2 linked regions of the Cricetulus griseus genome follow. The protein of the gene in region 1 interacts with the protein of each later gene in a biochemical or structural test. Links are inferred from orthologs where the notes say so. Each region holds a gene or a part of one and is shown in the gene's direction. Other genes may lie near its edges. The genes, in order: Ptch1 and Shh.

Region 1 (10,650 bases):
GAAGCGGCGGGTGGGGGCTGGGGAGATTAAGATAGCGCCTGTTAGAGAGAGCCTGGGGATTGCGTCCTGAAACCTGCGGGTAGAGTTTACAGGTCAGAACCATTGTCTGGATGCTGAAAAGTTAACCTATCAAACAGCGGGCGAGGGGTTGCAGAGCGCTGCAAACCTCAGGGTTCCATGTTCAAAACGTTTAAGAATTAAGTCAAACCGAGAGAAAAGCGCCCGAGTGGAAGAGGCTTTGCATAGCTAGACTATAGTTTCATCCTAGAATCCCAGAATCCAAACGGCTATACTGCAACCAAAGAAGTAAAAAAACAAAAAACAAAACAACAATAACAAAAAAACCTGGGGGGTGGCGGGAGGAGCAGCAAATGCTTAGGAGTAAAACATTGTAAGGAATTTGAAAGACAGCTTTCATAGGGCTATGTGGTTACCTGCCTGCCATATTTAGGGCCAGCTTCAAATTTAAAATCAGTCTGACCTTTGAACTCGGGGTGTCACCCTCAAGATCCGGAAAACAGTCCAATTTCCAAGAGTACGAAATGTGAAAGCTAAAGTAGCGGTCCAGCCTTTTCTGCTTTCTGCTGATAACCAAACTGTCAAGAGAGAAGGATTTTACTCCCAGGCTTAACAGCTCTGCCTCCAGCGCTTTGCTCTCTTTTAAGAGTGTCCTTCCCCTCACCCTGCGTGCCTTCCCTACAAGATTTTTCAGCTGCACTTCCGAAACTCAGTCGTTGGAAAATCACGTGCTCCCTGGTGTTAGGAATTTTGAATTTCCGCGCTGGCCCCCAGGTCCTGTTCCTTATCCTGTGAGCACCCCCAAACGCTTCTACTCTGTCACTGTTCTCTCAGATTCACCACTCGGCTTCAGGAACCGCACAGGTTTTATGCGTTTGGGATTCGAGATGGCTAAGAGTTCTAGGAAAGCCCGGAAAGAGATAAGGCTAAAGGAGAGGCAGCCTAGGCAGCGACCAAAGACTGCAACGCGGTGGGAGGGGAAGTCCCCCCTCCCCACCTCCGAGCCGCGTGCACCGCCGGTGGCCGCGCACCCCTGCATCGCCCCTGCCTAGCCGCCGCCTGCGCCACTGAATGGAAGGGCCGAAGCGCAGCCATTGGTCGTCAGCAGGGAGGCCGTGCGCGCATTGGGCAGCACGAGGGGGCCGGGCCGCCTTCAAGAATGTACTACGGCGTGTCCGGCACGTCTGTCCGCGCCGGCCAAGCGCGCACACCGCTTAGGGCCCGGGAAGGCGGTGCGAACGGCGTGAAGGGCTCGGGGCGCGCAACCCCAGCGGGCCGACCCGGTTACTTGCTGCGCCCGCGCCCCGCGCAGGCCCCAGACCGGAGCGCGCGTGCGCGTGAGCGATAACGCGTGCGCGCGGACAGGCCTCTGGGTCTGGGTCACGTGGCGGAGCAGGCTCCGCCTTCTCCCCCGCTCCTCCCCCTTTCCCTCCATCTGGGTTTCTTTCTTTCCTTTTCTTCTTATTTTTTTTTTCAATGAACACACACCGTGTGCATCTTAAAGCCACACCGCCCCATTTCACGGCTCCAGTTGGCTTCTCACCACTCCAGTTCCCTCTGCAGTTCAAGTGGGAGAAGAAATGTAAGAGGATGCCGCAGAACCCAGTGCTTCTGGGTCTGGTGTCTGCTGTAGGGAGGAACTTGAAAACTTATTGAAAATGGAATGTGCTTTCTTCAGTGGTCCCCCCCTCCTTAAAGAGTATAGTTGTGCAGACAGTTTAATTTGTCTCTGGCTCCACGACACCCAGCCGACCCCCCCCTCCTGTGAAGGTCGCATGATTTTTGTTCAACGTAAAGCCAATCCCAGGGATGTCTTGGCGACACTGGAAGCAATATCGGGACAAACCCTCGCGATCTGTGCACAATTTGTTTCAAATGAATCCGACATCAAAGCCTTTATTCTCTCCTACGTCACACTATTAAACATTACAGGATGCATACCGAGTTTTATTTTTTAAAAGCCTAAAACTGACTTTATTTAAGAATGTGATTAATTAAAAGTGGGGGTCCAGATGAAACCCAAATAATCTGGAAATCTCTCAATTCCATTTCTCTGGGCTGCTGAGACTGGTATATATATATATACATACCAATTTAAATATATGTTACAGATTCAAATTTTAAAAGCCTCTACTTCTACGAGTCTATGAGTTCTCTTTACAAACTCTTTCAAATTGGACTGTGCTTTTGTGTATGTTTGGTTTTTTTGCGGGGGGGGTGCTAGGGGATTTAAAAAAGGGTGGCTTTTCCCAACATTCTTGCTCTCCTCTTTAACTTTCCATTTTGTTTATCTTAATACGAGGCGTTGTTCCCTGCGAGAGTCTAAGTCTTGCCTTTGGTTATAAAAGAAAAGAGGAGGAAAAAAAAAATTGGCACACACGGGCGCACTATCCACCGCCCTGTCATTATTGGTGGAGGCCTGGGAATTCAAGGCGGACCTCCCAGTATTTGCTGCTGCTTGAGGCCAAAATGTCTCTAAAAGGGTTTTCTTTGAGGAATCTCAGAAATTGTTTAAGCGCTTAAAAAAAAATTACATATCCCCCGTGTCTATCGCGAGGCAAATGCTCCTGTATGTGTGAACGTGTGCGTGTGTGTTTGCGCGCGCGCTCGCAAAAGACGTCTCACAAAAAGAAGACACTGTTGAAAAGAAAAGAAATAAGAAAGAAAGGAGGGGAGCATTCCTTAATGGAAGTATTGCATGAGAGAAGGTTGGCGCAGAGCGAGTCCGTCCTCCCCCCCCCCCAAGCCGGGGATGCACACACGGGGGTTGCCTACCTGGGTGGTCTCTCTACTTTGGTGAGCTGTTGCTAAGCAGCTAATAATAGTCATGTTTGCTGAGTAATTTCTGCCCTCCGCGAGCCAATCGCGTCGCAGAAACCCAAGCCATCTGACAGCCCCGGGGGCGGGAGTTCCAGCCTTTTTCTCTTTCGCTCGCTCTCTCCCCCTCCACCCCCTCCCCTCCTCCTCCTCTTTCTCCAAATGGAGAGAGTTCTTTTTTTTCTTCTTCCATCTCATCTATTGAGTCAAGGAGCTGCTGCGGCCGCTGCCCGCTGCACACACACAGAGCGGAGTCCCCAGGTCCCGGGAGCGAGAGAGGCGCGCAGCGCGGGGGCAGAATGGTCCAGCGGGTCGGTGAGGAGAACAAGAAAGCAGAGTCCGGGACCGAGCAGCCACCGCGAACCCAGCAGTCCGAGAACGAGCAGCCGCTTCAGAAGCCGCCACCGCCAACCTCAGCCGCAGCAGCAGCAGCGGGGGCAGCGGCTGCCCCGGCCCGGCATCGCTGAGATCCGCCGGACACCGTCGCGTCGCCGGCAGCGGGCGCCTAGGGACCCAGAGCGAGTGGCGGGGGTCTGCGCGCGCCTTCTGCCGTGAAGGGGTCGCGGCGCGGGGCGGGGACGTCTGGGGGGACTTGGGGACCGCGAGGCGCGCCCTGGAAGCGCCGGCTCTCGCCTTCCCGCGAGCTGGATGTGGGCAGCAGCGGCCGCAGAGACCTCGGGACTCACGCGCAATGTGGCAATGGAAGGCGCAGGGTCTGAGTCCCCGGCATCGGCCACGGCCGCAGCACCCGCAGCGCCCGCCGTGTGAGCGGCAGCAGCGGGTCTGTCACCCGGAGCCGGAGTCCCCGGCGGCCAGCAGCGTCCTCGCGAGCCGAGCGCCCAGGCGCGCCCGGAGCCCGCGGCGGCGGCGGCAACATGGCCTCGGCTGGTAACGCCGCCGGGGCCCTGGGCAGGCAGGCCGGCGGCGGGAGGCGCAGACGGACCGGGGGACCGCATCGCGCCGCGCCGGACCGGGACTATCTGCACCGGCCCAGCTACTGCGACGCCGCCTTCGCTCTGGAGCAGATTTCCAAGGTGCATGTCTGTTCCCTCCTCCTCCTCCACTCTTCCCTCTTCTTCCTCTTTGGGATCCCTGCCACACACGCACACAGACACCCTCCTGAGAAAGCAGAAGACAAGTGAAGGTTGAAAATTTCAAACCCTCCCTCCGGACTTCGGAGGAAAGGGCTGTCTGAGGTCCGCAGGGGGTGGAGGGGTGCGTGCGTGCGTGTGTGTGTGCGTGTGTGGTGTGTGCGCGCGCACACGCCCTCCCTGGTGTGCCTTTTCCGGAGCTTTGGAAACCGTCCTGAGTGGACCACCTCCAGGGCGGCCGCAGTGCAGCACTGCCCCCGGCCTCAGCGCCCTTCACCCGCGCCCCTGCCTCCGTTGCAGCGTAAACCTCCGCGTTGCCACATTTCTTAACCTCTTCGTGGTGGAGGCGGAGTGGAGAGAGGCGGAGAGAGGCAGAGGGGAGGGAGCCAAAGTAAAGGTGGTTTCCTTTTTTGGCAGCCGGTTCTGCTTTCCTTGAGCTTGAAATCTCTGCTCCCTTAAAAATTATTCTCGGGAGAGGACGTCCCCTCTCTTCCAGGTTTTGGGCCGCCTCTTCTCCCAGCCTGCCGGGGAGAAGGGCAGTTGTAAACAAGTTGCCACCTTAAATCTTCGGTGCTGGTGTGAGGAACGGCCGGGTTCATTGTGTTTACGAGGCTGGCTGAAATGTGTGGAATCCAGGGAAGGCGAGCACCTAGCCTGGGGCCCGCTGGGGCCCTGGCCAGCACCAGGGCTCCGCCATCCCGACAGCAGCCTGCGCCTAGTCAGGACCCCCGCCGGCGCCAGCCTGGGCCTCTTCCCCGTATACTCGGCTGTTTTTTTTTTAAAAGATTTCACCAGGAGGGAGTGGGAGAGGAGGGAAAGATCCTTATGGCCGCCCTCTTCAGAGCACAAATAGTGTAAGTTGCAGATGGCTGCTGCACTTCCTAACTGAGCTCCCGCGGAGTCTCCCAAGGCCGTGGAAAAGTGTGTGGAGTGAACCCGGCTGCCGGGCTCACCACGTGGACCCCCGCGTGCAACCACCCGCCAGGCCGGGGGCCAGGTGGGCCACGGTAGCTTTATATTGTCCCTAAGTGTGCTTGCGCTCTTCACCCGCCCTCCGGGGTACCCAAGGAGGCCAAAGGCTGGAGCCGGATTTAGGGCAAGGGGGCAGTCGTGGCCTGGTGGTTTAGTGTTGGGCTTCTCAGCTAGGATCACTCAGGCCCTCTCTCTCCAGGTCCTCGATACTAGTGCCTGCCTGTCTTTGGCGGTTCCTCTGCTAGCCTCTCTCCCCAGCACCCCAAGTCTCATTCAGGAAAGTGCTCAGGCCATGCGTGGGGATACCCCGTGGTACCTAGAGTGCAGTTCTCACGCTGCAGCCTCGCTCTAATTTACAACCTAGTCCCCCACGCCTCCAGGGCTCCCTCTGACTAGTCCTGGTTCCAGCCCCGAGGGCAAGTCCCTGCGCCACGGCCGCCCACGCCCCCCACTGTTGGGGGGGGGATCCCCAGGCGGGTGTGCGCCGCCGTTAGCGACTCCCGGGCGTTCACTCCTCCCTTCTGCTTCGTCCCCAGGGGAAGGCTACCGGCCGGAAAGCACCGCTGTGGCTGAGAGCGAAGTTTCAGAGACTCTTATTTAAACTGGGTTGTTACATTCAAAAAAACTGCGGCAAGTTTTTGGTTGTGGGTCTCCTCATATTTGGGGCCTTCGCTGTGGGATTAAAGGCAGCTAATCTCGAGACCAACGTGGAGGAGCTGTGGGTGGAAGGTAAGAGACCCCGGCGCCGCTGGCGCGTCCTCTGTCTTCCTTCCCTTCCCAGTGTTTGATAAAGATATTTGCCAGCCTGCACCTAGAGCCTCGCCGTGGCCAGCGAAGCCCCTGCCCGCACCAGGGGCGACTGTTTATTGTTTGCATGCCTGGCCTGCAGCCAGGCCCGCCCGACAAAGGCCTCGCTGTAATCTACTCGGGGCGCTGCGCCTTGCTAGGTGTGGTGGGAGAGAGTGGCGGGGGCGCGAGGCCCCTGCGCGGGACGGACCACTCGGCAGGGCCGAAGGGGGGTGGTCCCTGAGGTCCGCCAGCTCCGCCCGCCTGGCTCTGGCCAGGGTGCCAGCGGCCGGAGGAAGGCCTCTTGGATCTGGGATGCTGGGATAGGCTTCCTTCCCTCCCCCCACCCACCCACCGCGTCTGCGGAGAAAGGAGAGGGGGTGGAGGGCAAGGCCACCCCTCTAGCTGCAGGGAGTGTGCGCGCCCCCGGGGCGCGCGGGGGGCGGGCGCCGCGCAGGCCTGCGGAGGCGGCCGCGTGTGTGGTCCTGTTTTTGGACAGCTTTCAACTCTGGGGGAAAAAAACATTTGTCTCAAGGTACAAAAAAAAAGGGGGCGGTGGGGGGATTGAAGAAAAAATAGTAAAGCACAAACTGGAAAGCGTGTTTGCAAAGTAGATTAATGTTTCCTCGCGGATGGGGACTTTTTAAATGGAATTATTCGGGGGGAGGCTGTGTTTGGCAGTCTTGCAAGAAAGAAATGTGTTTTTTTAAAGAATGCAGGTTTGATGGGAGGGGCGACGGGAGCTCCCCCTGGGGTGTGTGTGCCGGTCTTTTATCCACGTTCTTCGATTTGGGGGGTTGGGGACCTGCTTTAGAAAAGGACTTGTAAATTGAAAATAGGTTCTCCGGTTCCCCCTACCCCCACCACCATGAATGCTTTTACGTCCTTTGTGATCATAGACTTTCTTTTCCTTTTCTTCTTCGTTGGTCGTTTCTCAGTTATTTCTTTTAAAAGTATCAATCCCTTATTTGAAAACATTTTAGCCTCTGGCAAACACTGCTTTGGGCAGATGTTTCAACCCCAAATATCTGGTGCTTATCTACCACCCAGGACAGAACTTGGAAAGCGGAGTTTTTGAGTAATTCCTCAGGATGGTCTTGGAAACTAACCTTCCAGAACCTTCCCCTTTTGGTGTTTTGCAAACTAGTGGTGGAGTATTTAGTTGAAAGGTGACAATTAAAATAATAGTTGAAAAGTGACAATTAAAATAATAATCCCAATCGTTAAAAGCAGAACGCATTCCTGCCTTGAGCAGCTTGGTTAATGAATACAAAAGTGTCTTTTGGATTGATTCCATTAGGTAATTTACTCCACTTTGCTTCCTTGTCATTGGTAGTTCAGGGAATAGTTTTATTGAGCACCCACTAGTCCCCTAGCAACAAATTTCCTGAGTTTCTATACTGTGATAGGAGACACTGCCCAGTGCCAGTGCCCTGTGCCTCAGCCTACTGGAATCCAGTGCATTTTCATTGGATTTAGATTTACACTTGAGCTGGTCCATGAAAATTAAATTAGGAGAAAAGAGACTTTAGTGGAGGTCTTGAGGCAGGCTGGGGTACTGGAGAGACAAGAGGCAAGAGGGTGTTGCAGTAGAACAGGCCACTGCCTGCAAGACCGGGGAAAGACCCTGCAGTGTAGAAGCCGAGTTCCAGGGTCCACAGTAGGATTTTTCTACACCAGTGACCATGCAACGATTTGGTTTTTAGTAGTTGGAGCAGTTGTTTCAAGAATGACAGGAGAGTTATGAAGAGGGACTCCAGGTTAAGTGGGAAGGTGTTCAGTGAGGGGGACACGCCCTACTAGGCTAGGACACACCCTGGCCTGCTTTTGGCATCTTAAGGACCCCTCCCCCCAGCTAATACAGGGGATAACCTGGGGTACCAGCATGATAGGCAAACCCTCCTTCTCTGAGCCACTCCAACTCCCCAACTCCAGGCTCAGATCTTAGCTCCTTCCTGCATTGGCATTTTAGTACAGCTCATTGCTCTTGGGAACACTTAATGCTTTTGAGCAACCACCATACTCCAGGTAGTATGTATTTTTTGCAAGCCTTTACTTAGTAAAGTACCTACTACTTTAATTTTTTGTAACATGATCGTATATATCTATATGATGTTCCGTATAACAGACGTACCAAGACCCTTTCAGATAATGACTGGGAGTGGTCATCCACATTGTCATTCCTGTTCACTTTTCCTACCATTGGTTTAGGTCTTTAGTCTAGGGTTGCCTTGGCCTCCTCATTCACTTATTTCTTGATTTCCTTCTACAGGAAACAAGTTTCATAGATTAAACTGGATGTGGGGAACCCAATGCCACAGTAACTGGAGGTCTTGTTTATGGCCTATGGAATTTAGTGTTACTCTGTGAGCCTTTGCTTTTCGGAATAAATGCCAGTGGCTATGGGTGGCACTGGAGGTCAGTGAATTACAGTGAGCAGTAGGCCCAAGTTTGGGTTCCATCTTTGCTTCAGTCTCTTAGATAAGTTCTTCATCACTGTTAGCAAAGTCATCTGCTACCTGATGCTTCCTCCAGGTCCTGGGTGTGATTATAGGAGCCGAGAGTTTGCTGTGCGCCCCAACAAGATGAGGAGAGGTCTCTCATGTCCCCAGTTAAGCATAAGAAGGGAGGAAAGACAGATTATAAGAGAGGAGGAAGACAGTTTAGAAAGGCTGCTATTTCGCCTGTGAGGAGTTGCCTTTGTGCTTGTATGTGCGTCTGTGCACGAGCACTCTGTCTGCCAAAATACATATCTTCAGGAAATGCAGGAGTCTCCTCCACAGCCTTGACTTCATGGCTTCCTGAAGAAATGTGGCTTCACCACAAAGATGAAGCCGTTGTTTCCCTTGCTCCCGCCCTGCTCACAGGTACACACCACACACCGCCTATGCACGCATAAGTGATAACGTTTGATTCTGTTAAGATGCTGGTTTAATGATTGCCTTTCAAGACACTGCCCGTTGTTTGTGAGGTGCCAACCTGATTGTTTTTTGCATGTCACAGATGTCAACAAGAGCTTACTTGTGAATGGACCAAAAAGGTTTGATAAAGACGTTGGTGTCGTTGGGGACCTACTGTCACATAAACACAAGAGTCACAAATGTTTTTTGTTTGTTTTGTTTTTTCCAAGGAGAGTATTTGGTCAGTGTGAGTTCTCTGTGCCTACTTTGCACCAGGCACTTTGTCCAAAACTCTTGAGAAAAAGGGTGGTGACAGTCTATAGATGAGTCAATAGATGGTTAATTGCCAGGTTGTTAGGGAAATCAGCTGGGATTTCTGGATGGTCCCGGACTTGGGAAGGTGGAGGTGAGGGACATTCTAGGCAGAAAGAAGAGGATGGATGAAGGCTCAAAAATTGTATGTGTGTGTGTGTGGTTGGGTGGGTGGCCTTCAGTATTAACCTTCCAGTGACAGAGTGAATGAAGTGGGGGTTGGGCATCTGGTGGCTTGGAAGGTCTGGGAGGGGCCTGCAGGCTCTTTCTTCAAGATGCTGCCCTGGATCTGTGATTCTTAATTAACTCCTGGTACCCTTCCTGATACCAGAAGTGTTTGCATTTGCTTCTCAGGGTGCTGAAGGGAACTGGCTGTTTGTTTGTTATTTATTTTTAAACTGTGCCCATTTCTCAATGGTATTTCTTTTGACTTAGCCAATCTGCCCTCCTGCTCTCCTTAATATCTGCTTCCCTTTGCATACTCCCTCCCTCCCCTCCAGCTCTCTGTCACAAGTTTGTTGTCAAGGTACTCCTGTGACAGAATCTTCATTTATCTCCCCAAGATAAAAGCTTAGCCAGCGCCTGGCCCTCTTTTCTGAAAAGGGCAACAACCTTGAAATGACTCCATATTGCTCTGGTGTTTGGTTATTAAGGGCTGTAAGGCCAGTATGGGGGTGGAGAGAGGATGAGAATTTATTAAAGAGGAATAGAAGATTTTTGCTTTTTAAAAAATGCTTATTTGATGGGCAATCACACTGTCAAGTCTGTGCTGTGTGCTTTCTGTGTACTTTGCACAGTTAGAGCCATCATCCTTCAGTTCCTCACTCAGCCTTTGCACTCTTGCCATTTGGGTCTGTGTGATCCTCCACTGTGAGAGGCCCTGCACCCCATAGGGTGTTCGGGTTCTACCCACTGGGTCCCAGCCGCACTGTGCTCCTCAGGTCAGCATATTCACATTCATTGTTAGATGCCCCATTGGATGATAAATGCCTGGGTAGGAGACCTGTGCTTTGCCAGTCTAATTGGGTTTGCAAAGGCACCACTGTGTATGTGTGTGTCTGCACAGTTTGATGAACAAGTATGGTTATTCAAAGAGCAAGTGTACATACAGGAAAGGGTTGCAACCAAGTTGTTGGTATTCCTTTTCTTCTCAGAGAAAAGATGAATGACAAGTAAAAGCCGCCAATAACTGCTTGAAAAAAATGAGCAGGTGGCTCAGGTATTCCTCACAAAGGGGGGTAGCTGGTGAGCCCTGACCCCATCTCTGGGCTGCCCACCATTCTCGACCCACCAAGAAGTTCTTTCATAAGCCAGTTTGGGTCATGGGCTGTTTCAGATGCATCCAGCGCCGCTTGGAGCTTCCAGGAGATGACAGCTTCCAGATGTATGAGCCGCCTGGTCTGTGTGTTTAGGTTATGCACCACAGCTGATGCCGAGATTAATGCTGGCTGGAGAGCTGGGGAGATTGGTCTGCTTTCCACAATACCGTGTTTATATTTCATTTGGATTTCTCCTTCAGTGCTGACCTGCCTGTGACCCCTGGGGCCCTGTCCACTTGGGGTGAGGTGGTACTTACTTGCTCTTGCTTAATTTCTCTTGCTGGGGGGGGGGTGCCCATGTTCTGTAGAGAAAGGGGTTTTTGGATAGAGAGGGCCTTCTTGTGGCTGCCTCCAACATGGTGAGTACCTGAGAGTGAGCCCCTAAAGACTGTGCTCAGCTCAGGAGGTGATGTGTCAGGGCCCTGAAATACAAGA
Region 2 (9,853 bases), on another chromosome or scaffold:
ACTGGAAGCCTTCAGGTGAAAATAAAGCCACAGCAGCAAGAGGGGGGGGAATGTAGTCTTTCTCAGGGTTAACATCAGAAGACGAGCTTGTGCGGCTTGGCCAATCAGATGCGCCCCTGCCAGCTATAATATAGTGCGAAAGGCAGCCTGTCTCACAAGCTCTCCAGCCTTGCTACCATTTAAAATCAGGCTCTTTTTGTCTTTTAATTGCTGTCTCGAGACCCAACTCCGATGTGTTCCGTTACCAAGGACCGGCAGCCTGCCATCGCAGCCCCTGTCTGGGTGGCGATCGGAGACAAGTCCCCTGCAGCAGCGGCAGGCAAGGTTATATAGGAAGAGAAAGAGCCAGGCAGCGCCAGAGGGAACGAACGAGCCGAGCAAGGAAGGGAGAGCCGAGCGCAAGGAGGAGCGCACACGCACACACCCGCGCGTACCCGCTCGCGCACAGACCGCGCGGGGACAGCTCGCAAGTCCTCGGGTTCCGCAGACGAGATGCTGCTGCTAGCCAGATGTCTTCTGGTGGTCCTCGCTTCCTCGCTGCTGCTGTGCCCCGGGCTGGCGTGCGGGCCCGGTAGGGGGTTTGGAAAGAGGCGGCACCCCAAAAAGCTGACCCCTTTAGCCTACAAGCAGTTTATTCCCAACGTAGCCGAGAAGACCCTAGGGGCCAGCGGCAGATACGAAGGGAAGATCACAAGAAACTCCGAGCGATTTAAGGAGCTCACCCCCAATTACAACCCCGACATCATATTTAAGGATGAGGAAAACACGGGAGCAGACCGACTGATGACTCAGGTAGAGACCCACTGCGGGTGGGAAACAGTCTCCTTCCCCTGGGGGATTGCGTGTGACCAAGCAGTCAGCCCTGCTGTTTGCTCTTTGGGCAGGTAGGAAGGCGGCTTGGCCCTCTCCTTCCCCACCCACCTGCCCACCTAGCACTCCTCTTCCGGGAGGAGAAAGGAGGTGAAGGGTCCAGCAGGAAGTTTAGGGTTTGGGTGGAGTGGGGGCACCAGAAGATGGGGTTCGCTTCGTCCCTCATTTAATTAGTCTCCGGGGTGGCCTCCTCTATCTGTGTCTATTCTAGCTTGTAACTTGGAGAGACCTTCACTCTGGGGGTATCTGCCTTTTCCAAGCGGGGACGGAAAATAGAGGGAATGGGGATGCCCCTTTACACTTCAAGGGGCCTCCAGGGCATTACAAACACACCCTGGAGCATTCCAGCTCCTAGCTCCTACTTTTCCCTTTTCTGTTTTTTTTTTTTTCCCCAAGACCACCCCCACCCTTTACGCTGCCACCACCAAAGAACTCTAACTGGGAAAGCCAGGGGGCAATTCTGACAAAAGGCAGGAGCTCCGGGGGCGCTCGCCTTGTCCCCACTGTATCCCATAGCCTGACTGCGATCCGTCGTCCCCAATTGTGCCGATCAGGGGGAATGTATTGATATTTCTTTAAGGATGCTCCTCTGTTCTCCAGAGCCCGCGGTACCTTAGGGGAGGGACTTGGAACTTGCTGGTTTTGCAATCGCTTTAATTTTCAACCTGCTTGCATAAGAATTCGAAGAGAATAAATAGATATTAGTAGCGGCGAGGGTGGATGGACATAGGGCAAAGCAAAATATGATCCTCTTTCTCATCCCACCTCCTTTGAGATTTCTAGGCTGTCAATCTCCCAGCCAAATCAAGACTTTCTGAAACTCCATGCACGTAGGACTGAAGCTGGAAATGGGTTTCCTTGCAAATATAGGTCAGCATCCTTTTTACTGCCCTATTAAAATATTCAAGTCCTACCTTTAGGGCTAGGTGCGCCAAGCGGCTGGTGGAGCGGCGCTGGCGGGGCACAGGAGCAGGGGGTGGGGGCTGGAGAGAGCGAGCGTGGAGCTGCCTGCTCTGCGACGCGCAGCTCGCTACCAGGTATCTGCTGGCTGAGAAGCCTAGTAGACTAGCCTTAGGGTGGCAGGCCAGAGCTGGAGCAAGGAGAGGGGGGTCTTGGAGACAGAGGACAGGGCCATTCTCCCCTGCCCCATCTCCCTCATCTGCTCCCGACCACCTTAAATCTGGACCGCGAGTGTGGGCGCGCGCGCAGGAGCCGGGAAGCTGCACGAGCCACAGTTAACTCTGAGCGGGCCGCGGGGCGCCGGGCTGGTGCAGCTTGCAGGAGCGAGTTCTCCCGCCAGCCCCGGGCGTTTATTCCCTGGTTGCCCAGCTCCCCGCCCCCCCCTTTCCGGGGGGATTGTATCTCAGGGCGAGTAGGTCCTTGGGAACGCTTAAGGGAGACGATGCTAAAGCAAAGAGGCCTGCTGAGCACACGCAAGGTCCCTCGGCCCGGGTGGGTCTGCGAGGGGCTCCCAGGCGGGCTCCCTTGCCCAGCGAGCCGGGCCTCTGCGTGCTGCAGAGCTGCGAGAGCGCCGAGCCGTGTGGCGTGGCAGACGCCTTTCAGCTCCACTTACTCCTGCGTTATCGATCCCGCGGCTAGGGTTTCAGCGCGCGCGGGGCCGGGCTCTGGCTGCTTGTCCCTGACTCTGCACGCGCCGAGCGCGCCCCGCCGGAGCGCAGGGCTCCGAGCGAGCGCGCTCATTCCCTTCGGCGCGCAGGCTGGGGTTGAGCTGGGAGGAGTCGTAGAGCAAGGAGCTCGGCGGGCCTGACCTGGGCTGCAACTCTTCTGCCGCCTTCTCGGCCCCTCCTGCTTTAGCGACCTAAACGGAAACCCCCAGCTACGTCCCTTCCCTCACTCCGGTCCTCCTGGCCCGGGACCCAAGGCCCAGCAGCCCTACACCGGGTCACTCTCGCTGCTGCCGCCGCCGCCGCCGCTGTGTGCGCGCGCGAGCAGCATTTGAACTTCTGACCTTCTGTCAAGTTCCTTCAGACGAACGAAACGAAAACAAATACTTTTTTCCCTTGGGCAGTGGCTATTCTGGTTCCCAACACAAAAAGGCTAGAGAAGCAGAAGTGGGGGTGGGGAAGGCCAGGCCAGGATCTTCTCACCCACCCCGCAAAGATTCCCCCCAAAAGATGAAGATGGCTGTAAAGGTGGCAGTCTGGAAGTTCTCCTTGGTACAACCCTCACCAGCCTCTTATTCCGGGTTGGCAGAGTTGAGAGGGAACGGGAGGAAGGTTAGAGGTGAAGGGGTGAAACCAGAGGATCTCGGGCTCAGGGTTTGAGCATTCTCCTGGGAACCTGCCATCGGCCAGCCCCTCTTGAGCCCTCTCTTCAGTCTCGCCTGCCTCCCAGTCTGTCTCTCTAAGGTGACTGAGCCCAAGTCCCTCAACCATGGCAGGATCGTCCCCAGTGGAACTTTCAGAGCAGTTCTGGATCGCGGGAGCTCCTGGTTAATATTAACTCCAGAGAGGGAAGCGCAGACAGACACTCTCCTTGCGCAGGCCAGGCCCCAGAGAGTGCCAGGCTGTTGTGCCCATGGCCAGGGGGCCTGGGGTGGGAGGCCGCGAGGGGCCTGATCTGAGGGCTCTGCCGGCTCAGGTGGGGAGGGGGAACCACCTGAGGAACCTGGCTGAATACGTCCCCTGCGTGCTTCGGTGCTAGCTGGGAAGAGGAGACCAGGTGTGGATCTGAAGAGTGGGGTCTGTCCCCGCCCCCGTGAGGGGAAGAACGGAGTGGGGTGTGTTTAGAAAGTACAGTCTCTTGAAGTGGGTCACCGCCTCTCTCACAATGTGGGAAGCCCACTTTTGGAGGTGACAGTCCCTGCCTGCTCTGCGCTCATGAACTGCACCGGTGTGCAGATCCGGGAGGTGGGCTGGAGGCCCAGGAACAACTTGGCCTCCGCAGACACAAAGCCGGGCCCCAGTGACCCTGCCGGGCTTCACGGTGGCTGCACAGAGTCGGGCTTGATTAGCGGCACACGACCCAATGAATTAATAACCGGGCTGAGCTTCCAGGCTTTGCCTGCGACATTCCCTCCCAGTGCGGGCGGGGGAGTACCCTGCATCTGCCTGCAGAGTCGCGCAGGGCCTGGTGCGGGGGAGGGCTGTGGGGCACCGGGTGCCAACTCAGGCGACAATCGGCGTTGGCCTGTCCGAGTCGAGGGCCCATCTCTGCCCGGAGTTCTTTGCCTGGGATTCTCCGCGTCTGCCCTAGTGGTGCAGCTCCGGAGCCCTCTTCAACCTACCCTAGCTTGCCCCTGCTGCGGGATAGGCAGCTTGTTAAAGCTACTTCGCTGGCTTCCCCCTGCTGAGAGAAGGGAGCGGGTGGAGTACGAGCAGGAATGAAGGAGGAGATAAGCTGCGCGTACCGTGGTGTGCGCCTGCGCGCAGTGACTTCGAATCTCAGTTTTAAACTGACCCAGGTTTACTTATTGATTTTCATGTGAAACGCGTTCAGTCCCTAAGGTGACCTCACTCTAACTCTGTCCTTTGGACTTTTCTCCTAAAGAAAAACCGCTGGCAGGCCCAGAAACCTGCCAGAGCGGACCTGTTGTTACTACACCCCTCCTATTTATTGTGTGTTTAACTCTACAATCATATTCCTGGGCTTTACTGCTGCCAGGTATACATGACTTTTCCTTTTGTCTGTCCCCAAAGGCCTGGGCAACAGTCCTTTCAAGAGTCCTCCTGGCTACAGTTAGAGTCTGTCATCTAGGGGTCATTCTCCCACCCCTGCAACCTGCCCGAAATCCTCTCAGCCTAAGGGATTGTGGGCGATCAGCCCTACCCTCTGCAGAAGTCAATTTGAAATCATCCCTGCCTCCACTGGGGTCCAGTTCTCTGGGTAATGTGCCCTTGCCATTTTGTCTCCAGCCACAAAGCCCCAATCAACATGCCACCATAAACTTCCAAGCAATGAGTTCCTGCCCCCCCACACACACACAGGACTCAGCTCCTTCCCTTTTATTACACCTTTTTTAAAATGTGGGCCAAGAGTGCCCCCCACTATCCCAAGTTCCACCTTGCCCTGCAAGGCAGGAGTGGAGTAACATGAGTTCCACAGCCGACCTCCTCTTGGGCAGAGCTCGGAAGCCTTGGGCCTTTCTGGCTCCCCATCCCCCTACCTTTCCCACCCCACCCCCATTCACTTCTTAAGTTTGCTCTTCAAACTTGCCGGACACCATTCTGTGCAGGGCCAAGAAAACAAGAGGGGAGGAAGAGAACCGGTCAAAGAAAACACGAATACAATCAGGCCCCAGACAAGCCTGGCAGAGAGGAGCTCCTTGGGGGAAAGAATGTGGCTGCCTGAACCAAGAATGTTTGTCCTCTGGCCCTGCCTGTGCTGGACACCCGCATTCACCTGCTTGCTTGTCCTTGGGCTGCTTCTTACCCCTCAGTGTTGCCTTGGCTTTCTTCAGGCCAGGCAGGCCTGGCCTCCACAAATAATGCAGGGTTTCCGGTTCTTAAAGTGCACCAGAAGTTCTGCCCCACTAAAGAGATACACTTGGGATCCCACTCAAGGAAAAGCTGCTCTTATTCCTTGGCCATGTAGCTGCATCTAAGTTTCTGCCTTGGAGACAGGCCCTCAGCTGGTTTCCTGGAGAACCCGCCTCTCCTGCAGCAGCGATGCCTCCACCCCAGGGTCCCAGGTCTGTGGTTGGTAGAGAAACTACCAACTAAGGTATTTGTCACTTAGACTTCCTCCTTCTCCCAACAGAGGTGCAAAGACAAGCTAAATGCCTTGGCCATCTCTGTGATGAACCAGTGGCCGGGCGTGAAGCTGCGAGTGACTGAGGGCTGGGATGAGGACGGCCACCATTCAGAGGAGTCTCTACACTACGAGGGCCGAGCAGTGGACATCACCACGTCTGACCGGGACCGCAGCAAGTATGGCATGCTGGCTCGCCTGGCTGTGGAGGCTGGCTTCGACTGGGTCTACTATGAGTCCAAAGCCCACATCCACTGCTCCGTGAAAGCGGGTAAGCAAGTCTCCCGTGGCCTTTCTGCACCACCCTCCACCTCCAACCATTCCCACCAGAAGGTCTGGAAGAAAAGGGGGAGGGGCATAAAAGCCATGAAAAGAGAGGAACGCTCTTGAAAATGAGTAGATTTCTGTTGTGGGGATATATCCTATGGCAGACACCCCACCACCGCACCCCAGCCAGGTACCTCTGCAACCTTTTAGGTCACTGGCCAGCATCTCTACATGTCCAGATTCCCAGACTGTGTGGTTTCTGGAACCCCCTGCTTCGGTAATAGAGACATAGGTGTCAGAGAGCATTGTGGAAGGGGGTCCTAAGACTCTCCTGGTTTAGCCAGAGCTCACCTTGGTCTTCCCTCTCATCTAGGGCTTAACCTACTGCCAGCACCACCACCCCCAATACACACACACACACACACACACACACACACACACACACACCAAGGTCCGAAGGGGCTGTCCAGGACATAAACCTAGGTACTGGCTCCTCCCCGCTGGGCTCCTGTGGATTCAAAACTAACTTAACTTACTGGCTAAGTCTGTGGGGGAAAGACCTGGTGGGAAGTAATAAACTCTACTTCCAACTTCGGGAGGCCACAAGCCCAGAAGCATCCGTTCCTATTAGAAGCCCAGCTGGCATGCAGAAAGCCCCTGGCTAGACTGCCTAAGGCGATCCCACCGGAGCCGCTGCCCCCAGCCAGTTCGAGTTCCCCAGCCAGAGGCGGAGTTCCCTGGGCCTGCAACGCCACACTCTGTTGCGGGGAGGAACAGCTAGGGAGGCAGGCAGCCAACACACATGCAATAGCCTCTAGGGATTGTGTGGCCCGGGCAGGGCAGTTCATGGTGACTTTTACGTAAAGGTCTGTCCTCCCCCACCGCCGCGCCCCGCCCCGCCCCCTCCCGCTCCCCAGTTCCCCAAAGTGTATTTTAACAACACATACTAGCTGGAAACTAAACATCAAGAAACACACTGACTAGGTAAAGAAAAGTGTAGCTCTGGCAACAAAAACTAGCTAGGACGCGCGCAGGAGCGGTGACGGGAAGGCCTGTTGGAAGGTGTCAGCTCCAGGAACCCCCCTGGAGCGGGCACTCCTCTCGGGCCAGGGTGAGAAACGCAGGTGGCAGTGACCCAGGCTCTGAGGAAGCTCTTCCCTGGACCTCAAGTCTGTGCTGGACACACAAGGCCTCCCTGCCACCCCGGTTCCTGGAGCCCCTCTGGCGGGAGTCCCCAGGGGATCTCCCAAATGAGCAGCGGTAATCCGGCTCCGAGGGTCTCTCGCAGGCAGTGCAGACCCCGGCCGGCCCCGGCCGTGGAGGGCAGCTCATTGGCATTCTGCGCACGCGGGCTGGGACACCGCGCCTTGTGTGTCAAGCGGGGTCGTGCGACTCGAGGACTCCGGCTAGCTAGAGCCCGGGGTCGCATTCCGGGGGGCTATGGAGTGCTTCCAACCGCCAGCCCCGCACTTCATGCCGGAGAAACCGATGAGAAGATTAAAAGCCTTCTGTAATTCCAGCAGGAAGATTCTTTCTGGCAATCTCTATTTGCCAAAAGCATGATCCTGGAGATTGGAATGCAAAGAAGACTGGGACCTCCCCACCCCTCCTCCCTGGCCCCCTGCGCTCCGCCCCATCCTCAATTATTGTCCTCCGGGACAGTGAGCCTCCGAGAGCTACTGAGGGCTGGGTAAAGCGGGTAGTCAAGGGGCCTTGAGAACCCGCGCTTCCAGAGCTCTGAGCAGGCCTGGCCATTTAAAATTCAAATACACATCTCGAGTGCTTGGAAGAGAGGCCTGGCTGTGCAAATAGTGCCTTGTGAGGCCCGGGCTTCTGGAGAGTCCCTGTGTGTGAACTGCACGAGGGGGAGGGGGGCTGCACCTGAGCAAATAGGGAGGGGGCGGCCAGCGAGCTGGAGAGTGAGCTGAGAAATGGGGAAGAGGGAGAAATGGAAGTGCCCCCTCTTCCAAGGCTGTCTCCTATTTGTCCCACAAATCACAATGACAATACCCGGCTCTTTATTGGATTTTAATTAGAAAATCCACACAAGTCTTGGGCTTTCACACCTCGGGCAAACCTCTGGAATGTTTGTCCAGTTGCTACAACGACTACAGCTATTTTTTGCTCCCCACCCCCTGGCCATCCACTGGCCAACAACCAAGGCCCTCACTGGGGAAGCCAGAGGCGGGGGTGAGGTGGAGAGCCCGGGTTCCCCAGGCTCAGCCTCCTCGCACCGCGCACTGGGAGGCGCCGCGCCCTGCGGTCCGGGCGGGCGGGCGGGAGAGCGGGCGCGAGAGAGAAGGGTGCGCCCGGCGCCCGCGCGAGCTCAAGGAGGCTTCCTGAGGAATCAAGTGGAGAGTAAATATCCTTCTGGGTTCGCGGCGAGGCTGGTGCAAGAGAGGGGGATGGGACAGGAGGCAGAAGGAAAGTTGGGAGTGCCCCTCGCCCCCACCCCCACCCCGCCTCCTGCAGGAGATGCCAGCTAACTTTTCCTGGTGCCGGTGCAGTCTTGAAGGGTCGTCTGAATTCAGCCCCTGGGTCGCTGGGATTGCTGGCGCAGGGCGGTGTGTGCTAGACCAGTCAGGATCTACGAGACACCGCCCCCCTCCCCGCCAACACGCCTCCCCTGCCCATCACACGCGCGCCCCTGGTCGAGCCGAGTGGGGCAGGGACTGCACGGCCACGCACACGCACACGCACACGCACGTGAACACCCCGGGCGTACCTGTCTCCTTTGTCACTCAACACCCCGTCTCTCTTCCCTGCAGAGAACTCCGTGGCGGCCAAATCTGGGGGCTGCTTCCCGGGATCCGCCACCGTGCACCTGGAGCAGGGTGGCACCAAGCTGGTGAAGGACCTACGTCCAGGAGACCGCGTATTGGCGGCTGACGACCAGGGCCGGCTGCTGTACAGCGACTTCCTCACCTTCCTGGACCGCGACGAAGGCGCCAAGAAAGTCTTTTACGTGATCGAGACCCGGGAGCCGCGCGAACGCCTGCTGCTCACCGCTGCGCACCTGCTCTTCGTGGCGCCGCACAACGATACGGGAGACGCGGGCCCCGCACCCGGACCCAACGCGCTCTTCGCCAGCCGCGTGCGCCCCGGCCAGCGTGTGTACGTGGTGGCCGAACGCGGCGGGGACCGCCGGCTGCTGCCAGCCGCGGTGCACAGCGTGACGCTGCACGAGGAGGCCGCGGGCGCGTACGCGCCACTGACGGCGCACGGCACCATCCTCATCAACCGTGTGCTGGCCTCGTGCTACGCAGTCATCGAGGAGCACGGCTGGGCACACCGGGCCTTCGCGCCCTTCCGCTTGGCGCACGCGCTCCTGGCCGCGCTGGCGCCCGCCCGCACGGACGCCGGGGGTGGGGGCAGCATCCCCGCACCCCAACCCGCAGCGGAGACGAGGGGCTCAGGGCCGGCCTCGGGCATCCACTGGTACTCGCAGCTGCTCTACCAAATTGGCACCTGGCTGTTGGACAGCGAGACCTTGCATCCCTTGGGAATGGCGGTCAAGTCCAGCTGAAGTCAGAGGGGACTGGGCAGGGGGTGTGGGGGCGGGCGGGGCGGGGAGCCACTGCGACTTCGAGATAAGCAACCGGAAGGAGACTTTTAATTATAAGAATAATAATTATTAATAATAATAAGTAGGACAGTCCAAAGTAGGCTATAAGGAAGCAAAGACCCCGGGGAGTTCTGTTGTTGTGTTTAGTTTATATGTATTTTTGAATTTTTTTCGTTATTGTCTTATTTGGGTTATTTTCTCCTCTCCTGGCTATTTATTTGTTTGGTATAGATGTTTTAAATAATATGAACGGACCTTCAAGAGCCTTAACTAGTTTGTGTCTTGGATAATTTATTATCGTGTGAACTGTACTCACAGGGGGGGAAAGATTATTTTGTGAGGCCAAGCAACCTGCTGAGAGTCTATTTTTCTATACTCCCTCGTCCTGCGCATCAGAAGGCAAAACTCCGCATTCTTCTTCTGCTAGGGTCCTGCTTTTCG

What was found.
Region 2: the proteins of Ptch1 (region 1) and Shh are reported together in a solved structure, tested with the Homo sapiens proteins (5 studies listed by BioGRID and IntAct, with this or other methods). The link is inferred for Cricetulus griseus from reciprocal best matches to the Homo sapiens genes PTCH1 and SHH.

What each region holds. Positions count from the first base shown.
Region 1 is NC_048596.1:281,136,403-281,147,052, reverse strand, and holds the start of Ptch1 (protein patched homolog 1), read left to right. Parts: upstream 1-3,710; coding exon 3,711-3,869; intron 3,870-4,426; exon of another isoform or gene 4,427-4,780; intron 4,781-5,434; coding exon 5,435-5,627; intron 5,628-6,112; exon of another isoform or gene 6,113-6,219; intron 6,220-10,650.
Region 2 is NC_048601.1:94,251,728-94,261,580, forward strand, and holds Shh (sonic hedgehog protein), read left to right. Parts: upstream 1-492; coding exon 493-792; intron 793-5,589; coding exon 5,590-5,851; intron 5,852-8,615; coding exon 8,616-9,373; downstream 9,374-9,853.